Linked DNA regions of Schizosaccharomyces pombe. The gene in region 2 interacts genetically with the main gene of each other region. Each region holds a gene or a part of one and is shown on either strand. Other genes may lie near its edges. The genes, in order: SPOM_SPAC15E1.02C and pof7.

Region 1 (3,290 bases), on a different chromosome or scaffold from region 2:
AGAAATAGACTACGGTTCACAGGTGGATACAGAGAATTTTATGTTAGAACGCAGTCCATTGGCAACTCCAAAGCCATTGAAGCAACCTGATTTTAATATATATGAGACGCCGATCGTCCGTAGTACAGCTCATGAAACAGATGATGAACAAACCCCTTCTAAATACTCCGATAACAGAGTCGAAAGTTCTAGTGATACAGTGTTTGAGAATACTGATCTTAAGTACGATAACAATGTACAGATGAGTAAAGTGACTCATCATGTAAGACACGATACGATATCCACTGATGACTATGACGCTTACGAAGATGCCGAAGATGTTGAAGAGACAAGCCTAACTTAATGTGCATAAGTTTTATTCGATTTGGCAATGATTGTATGCCAGTTTGTGTATTTTTTTTTTACTTTTTTTAACTTTAATTGTTACGAGAGAAATTACCCTGTATTACACTAGGACTGATGCAAATCTTGTGAATCAAGGATTTGCTGAATAGAGTTACAACATACCTTAATATGTACAGTTATAACAAGCAAAGGAAGCTTCGATGTTGTCCAATACCACTATTGGGATACTATTTTCACTTACAGTCTAACCAAATATGAGATAAACACAGAAAAGAAATCTTAGATATTAAAGAAAATTTGATTAACTTGTCGTTTTAAAAATCAGATATTGAACCATCGGAATCTTAAATACGACGTACGCCGTAACCGATCAAGGCAACACTTAAGCCTACTGATTTCACTAGAGAAGATATAGTTTTGACAAGGATGTAAGGGGTACCTCTGCTTTCTGTGAACATATAGTCGACTACGTCGGGCAATCCAGATGCACCAAATACATAAAGACCCACGAAAAAGGCACCTTTGAGTGTCACAGTGCCTGTAAGTTGCAACAATGCAGCGATCGAGTACGACTGAACTGCTGTACTAAGGAAATTGCTAACATAAGTTGTAGCAACCTTCTTGGTTTTACTTCCAGCGTCATATTCGACGTGAGGTGCAGTGCTCATTGCCCTTTTCCAAATATCGCCCATTAGGGGTCCATAAACGAGGAAAGAAGCAGCATGGTCGAAGGCAATCCCCAAGAGAATTGCACTAGGGCGTACATACGGCATGTGAGTGTAGGATGGCATTTCTTGTATTAATATTTAGTTTGAGTTAGAACAAGATTAATATGAATGTGAATATTTTGTAAAATAAATGTTTTGTAATTAAAGGATTTAAGGGCGCTACCACTAAATATATAGTATACTCAAGGTCCAATTATGGATTTAGGTACAGATTAATTTGGGGCGTCACTTTGACGTGTCGATGAAGTATGATAATTGGGAAATACTGCTTAGCCTGACTTGACTTGTTTTAAGTCGCTATTTCGCTATTTACATAGTGATATCTACATCATTTTCCTAAACTTTTGGTGGAGCAATATCTCATACTGTTCGGATGCTGTGCCAAGTCTTGCATAAAGAAATCAGTGAAGTCGATAAATATAAGATTTGGAGTGCAGCGATGGTAACAACTAGTGATTAAAAATAGAAATTTACTACAATAATTTTCGCATGTTTTACATTAAAAAGCCCTCACAGAAGAATCAAAGTTGGATTGAAATTCCAGCACTAAAACAATGTAGCTTAGAAATTTTGTTTGCTGGCCCACATTTGATATATTGCAAGCTTGATCTTACGCAGTAAACACTTTTAGGGTAGCTATCGGTTGTTCACACTATTGCGAACAGTGCGTTGAACGACATTACAGCAGCAAGTAAACCTAACCTAGAGGAATAAGAAACAGTCACATTTGTACAACAAGGGTTTAGCAGAGAAACTTTATGCTGTCGAGTTCCTAATCACCACCATCTAACCATCACTTATAAAAGTATCAAAAAATGGTGAACATTCCCAAGACCCGTAAGACTTACTGTCCTGGTAAGAACTGCCGCAAGCACACTGTCCACAGAGTCACCCAATACAAGAAGGGACCTGATTCCAAGCTTGCTCAGGGTAAGCGTCGTTATGACCGCAAGCAAAGTGGTTTTGGTGGTCAAACTAAGCCCGTTTTCCACAAGAAGGCTAAGGTTACCAAGAAGGTTGTCCTTCGTTTGGAATGCGTCTCTTGCAAATACAAGAATCAATTGGTTTTGAAGCGTTGCAAGCATTTCGAGCTTGGTGGTGAAAAGAAGACTAAGGTATGTCGAAGAATGCTGATAACGAGTGGATTGGATTTAGACGAATTTGTAAAAGAGTTTTTGCCGTGGTTGAATACCTCTCAAATCCAGAAAAAAAATTTTGCAAAGCGCTTTTATGAATTGTCTTTTGTTGAGTTTCATCCTTATTATCGATCATTTTCTTTATTTCATCTACTAACAATCATTTTAGGGTGCTGCTATCCAATTCTAAGTGTTTTAGCAAATACAATTTTCTTCTTTTACGGTGATCCTAAAAGCAATTCAAAGTAGTGTTTCATTTGTATTGTATAAATAATGACATGATTCCGATAGAGTAGCACACAAAGTGATGAGTTGTCATCAATTAGCAGTTCGCTAACGCTAAGGTCTGTTCTCAATATTGGAGCAATCTTTTTCGAGTGTTTCTAGTTCCATCGGTTTGAGTCAGAGCTTTTCAAGACTTGTATTACTGCTTGAGTAGAAGACAGGTGTTGTGATTTCGGAAAATAACCCATCACATTTGTCAGCATGTTAACTAAGATAAAAGTAATCAAACAAGTACAGCGTAAAATAGCGAGAGTACTAAAGCATCAAATATGCTTTCAAGTATTGCAAAAAAATTTTCTTTAAATTATCCATGCTTACGGGTCTTCTAAGGTTTAGGAGACTATGCCATTTGCCGAATTATGGATATATTAAGTAACTAATTGCTAATAGTGAGAGTGTAGTGCATCCTTGCATAACGGCACTTGGATTTCACACTGCAGGCATAATAAATAATTACTTTTTTTTGGTACTAAAGCAACGTACGTTCTTTGTTTTTCTGCGTACGACGTGTACAATTCCCTTGCAAAACTAAGGTTCGCTTGTTCAATTGCTAAATTTGTTTTTGTGGACGACCATTATAACGCGCTTCAATGAGTTTATAAAAGTTTCATTAAATTGCAGTACCAGATAAATCGATATCTAACCTTCTCCCTGCATCTATAATCTCTAGCTTCACCAACATTAAGGCCCGTCAATTACTTTCGTTTCGTTGGCCAATATGTCACAACCTTTGCATGCCAGGTTTGCTACCAGGGCTGTAAAAAATCCCATGATCCTTGAGAAAGAGCGACAACTT
Region 2 (4,446 bases):
CATGTATTCAAAACAAGAGACCGTGTTTTAAAAAATAGTGCTCGCATTTCTCAAAATCCTGAATTAGAATTTCGTGATCAGGGATACACCAGGCCTAAAGTATTAATTCTTTTACCCACAAGGAATAGTGCTTTTGAATTCATTAATTTACTTATTTCATATTCTGGGACTAATCAAGTAGAAAATCGAAAGCGTTTTGATAATGAATTCTCGATTGAAAAAGAAGTCATTTCAGAAAAAAAGCCAGAAGATTTTCGTTATCTTTTTTCCGGAAATACCGACGATATGTTTCGACTGGGTGTTAAATTTACAAGAAAAACTGTCAAGCTATTTTCCCAGTTTTACAATTCTGACATTATAGTTGCTAGTCCTTTGGGACTTCGTCTTGCTATTGGTAACAAGGGAGATAAAAAGCGAGACCTCGATTATTTGAGTTCGATTGAAATAGCAATGGTTGACCAAGCTCATGCTCTCGTGATGCAAAACTGGGAACATATTGAATGCATTTTTGATGAACTTAATGGTTTGCCTAAAGAAGCTCACGGTTGTGATTTCAGTCGTGTTCGTCCTTGGTATCTTGATCAGCAAGCCAGATATATGCGCCAAACTATACTATTTTCTCAATATAACAATCTAGATATAAATTCTTTCTTTTCTCACTACATGTCAAATATTGCTGGTAAGGTTAAATTTCGCTCGCTTCTTCACGGTGTTTTAAACCGCTTGGGGTACAAAGTGACTCAAACTTTTGTTCGCATTTCTGTCGATTCTATTATTAAAGTTCCAGATGCCCGCTTTTCCTATTTTACTGGTTCTATACTAGTACAACTAAAGAAGTATTCCCAGAGTGGTATTTTAGTTTATATACCTTCATATTTTGATTTTGTTCGTGTGAGAAATTACATGGATGAGGAGGGAATTAACTATTCTGCCATATCAGAATATTCGAGTGTATCCGATATGACTAGAGCCCGCAATCTTTTTTATCAAGGTAGAACCAATATAATGCTATATACTGAGCGCGCTCACCATTTCCGTCGATTTGACTTTAGGGGTGTAAAAGCTGTTGTGATGTATGGTCCCCCAACGAATCCTCAGTTTTATGTTGAACTTGTTAGAATGCCGATGAGAACCATCTCTGAAGGAAACCTTGACAGTGATGCAGCAAAGTGTAGAATTATGTATACAAAGTTTGATTCTATTTGCCTGGAAGGCATAGTGGGATATCAGCGTGTATCAAACATGTGTCATGGTAAACATGAAGTTTTTGAATTTCTTTAAAAGAATACGAAAAAAATTTTTTTAAAAAGGAATTAGGGGTCATTTGGATTTTTGGATGAAAGAGCTACAAAATTACTACTTTAAAACAATAGAATAGCTTAAAATGTACTTTATTTGGACCATTCCGCTTTGCTTTATTTATTGAGAGCGAATGAGTAAATAGCTACTTGAATGATTTAACTTGACAGTGCTTTTTAAATGTTTTCAATATATAATTTTTTTTATACTTATTTCAAGATTCATATAGCGATTGGAAGGCATCGTACATTATCAATGAGTTTGGTTTCGACTGTGTTCCCGAAACCATATCTAAATCTCAATTGCTTTTGACGAAGATATGCTGAGAATTATCCGAAAGCAAAGCGGGATATGTATCTACTCGTTTATTAACAATAAAAATCGCTATCATATTCACCATAAATAAATGCAGTAATGCTACATGAAGCTGGTAATTATTACAATAATTCATCAAATCGAAATGTTTTCTATATCGCTAAAATCCTAATATCCACTTAGCTTATTGCCAAGTAACTTTTGATTTGAACAAGTTTTAAGTTTATGTAATGGTTTCGCAAGTCCTAACGCCTTGTTAGAAGTGATAGAATCGAAGACACCTACAAATATGCCCATAGCCAAATAGCATCTCAAACATGTTACAATATTTATCTAGTCCATTTTTTAAACAGTAAAGAAGCGACGATTGACTCAATTTAATCTTCTTCTTCTTGTTATCAAACCGCCACAACTTGATATTAAACGCAACGGCTAACTACCCATGAACTAAACCATATTGTTACCAAAGTAAGGTCTTGTGAAAGGATGCTTTTAATCCTTAAATCCTTGTTAATACTTTGCTAGGAATTGTATGAAAAGTAAAAAACATAAAAGTCATTAGTTAGGTTCAGCACTATCTTAACCTCTTAATATTCGTGTTGAATTCTTTTTTTTTTTTTCTATTTTGAGAGAAATAAGTAAGAAAATATTTTCTTTTTCAATTATACATCTACTTTCGATTGCTCGTCTGAGAAATAAAATAAGTGATGAGTACAGTAGAGGATCAACTTTCTCTTGAACTTGAAACAGTGAACAAGGATATACTGTTGAAAAAAGCACTTTTACATTACAAAGATGCTATAAAATCTGAAAGAGAAGGAAATTTAGGTGAATCTCTTAATAAATATCGATTAGCTCATAAAGTCCATGAAGATGTGGAATCTATCTATCGGCGTTTGGAGCGTTTGCAACTGTGTAAAAGAAATGAAGAGGAGGAAATGTTAAATTCAGATGCATCAGAAGCTATGCTCACTGTTTCCTCAGTCCCATCTCCAACGTTAACGGAAAATGAGTCTGTAAATGAGTCGGTCGTTCCCAATATACTGAAGCTTCCCGACGAGGTTTTGCTAGTTATCCTAGAGAATTGCATTAGGGACCTTCATGATTTAAGATATCTCTCTTCAATTGCACTAACTTGTAAGCATTTTGCGAAGGCATTACGAGCAGATTCTCTATATAGATCGTTTTGTTATTGCAGTTGTGAACAAAAAGAATGGCAACAGTCTATTAAGTCAATAGAGGAAGAACTCGTGGAAAAATACCAGCAAAGCTGGAAGACTTTGTTCCTTAAAAAGCCTCGATCTCGTTTTGACGGATGCTACATATCCGTTTGTCGATACTTTCGACCTGGAACTAGTGACACGAGCTGGAACCAACCCATACATTTGATCACATACTACCGGTATTTACGACTTTATCCTAATTCAACATGTATCGTTTATCAAAGCAGTAATGAACCAAATGATGTTGTTCGCAACTTCAGTGTGCAAAACACCAGTCTTTTTTCTCCTATGTCGAGTTCTCCTATGTTTAGTAATGGAAACGTAGCACTCACTGGCTCCTGGTCAATGACTCCTTCTGGAGAAATGCTAATTGTGTATCCCGCAAGTCAAACTTATACATACGTTCAAAAACTTCAAGTTCGTGGAATAAGGCTTAAGTGGATTTCTTTCTACTCCATCCATAATTATACCTCATTCACGAACGAAATGCCACTCACTCACAATCGTGACTATGTTTTCTCCAGAGTATATAGCTATACTGCTGACTCAGAGTCACTAAAACGTGGCTAGTCTTACTTTTTGGAATACTAATTTAGAAACCGCGGAAATGATTAATTATCTATTATAGGTCGCATCGTGAGAGGATTTAAAGAAATTATTTTTTATTAATATTAATGCCATCATTATTCTTCGCATGGAAATATATCATTAACATACATTTACAAATGAACAACAGATGCTTAACAAATTTTTGGAAGTACAAAGTTATAAACAATCCTAAGTCCAAGGAAACATGCGTGATACTTGAGGAGAAAAGAGTAAATAGAATGCACAAAACTTAAAAAATAAAAGAGGAAAACCCACGAAATGGAATATTAAACGTATCAGTTTCTTGAAGTCCAGATCGAATATTCATAAAGAAAACCATAAAACCATTCGTAATCATGTTCGTAAAAAATCCCTGCTTTTTTACCACAAATAAATAAACTAAAGGCAACATAAAAAATCGCCATATCGAAGCATTGAATGACAAAAGTAAAACATGGAGAAATATCGGAGAGCAATAATTCAACATGAAGATTCCGTTTTAAAGTTAACAAACGGATTTATTTTGGATAATAAAATTAAAGTAAATTAGTTTCGTAAAGAGAAAAAGAGAAAGGATTAACGAAACTGTAGAAAATCGCTCATTTCTATTCAAAGCTAAACCATTTCCTCTGGAGGTCTGTAAACTGGTGGTGGTGAAGCTGGTCGTTCGTGATTTACAGCTTCGGTTGCTGCAGGGCTTGCTTCATTTTGGGGTGTATTGCTTGCAGTAGCAGCTGGACTATATGGAGGTGGGACTTCTTCAGGCAAATTTTCAGAAACGGTAGTAGTTGTATTCGGGTGTGCCATTACATGTGTATACCGAACAGAGCCACGACGAGGTGAGCCAATTGGAGATGTATATACAGTTGCAGGAACGTATGCAGACTGGGGAGATGTAGGTGAACGGCGAGGAACTGCTGTTGCGCCAGGCCTAGCGCGAGCTTCTGCCATGGGGCGTGTAGTTGCTGGTTTGGTCTGTCCAGCCCTTGCCTGTCGACGGCGAACAAAAAATCTATTGATC

The links.
Region 1: mutations in pof7 (region 2) and SPOM_SPAC15E1.02C together harm fitness less than expected from each alone (positive genetic interaction), as found in Schizosaccharomyces pombe (one large-scale study listed by BioGRID).

What each region holds. Positions count from the first base shown.
Region 1 is NC_003424.3:3,720,621-3,723,910, forward strand, and holds SPOM_SPAC15E1.02C (uncharacterized protein), read right to left. Parts: upstream 1,217-3,290; 5' UTR 1,137-1,216; coding exon 690-1,136; 3' UTR 637-689; downstream 1-636. Other genes in the region: bud6 (actin-interacting protein 3), read left to right, coding at 1-343; rpl42 (60S ribosomal protein eL42), read left to right, coding at 1,889-2,188, 2,379-2,399; hal3 (thymidylate synthase), read left to right, coding at 3,213-3,290.
Region 2 is NC_003421.2:2,370,955-2,375,400, reverse strand, and holds pof7 (F-box protein Pof7), read left to right. Parts: upstream 1-2,063; 5' UTR 2,064-2,321; coding exon 2,322-3,407; 3' UTR 3,408-3,887; downstream 3,888-4,446. Other genes in the region: U3 associated protein Utp25, read left to right, coding at 1-1,281; SPOM_SPCC70.10 (uncharacterized protein), read right to left, coding at 4,041-4,446.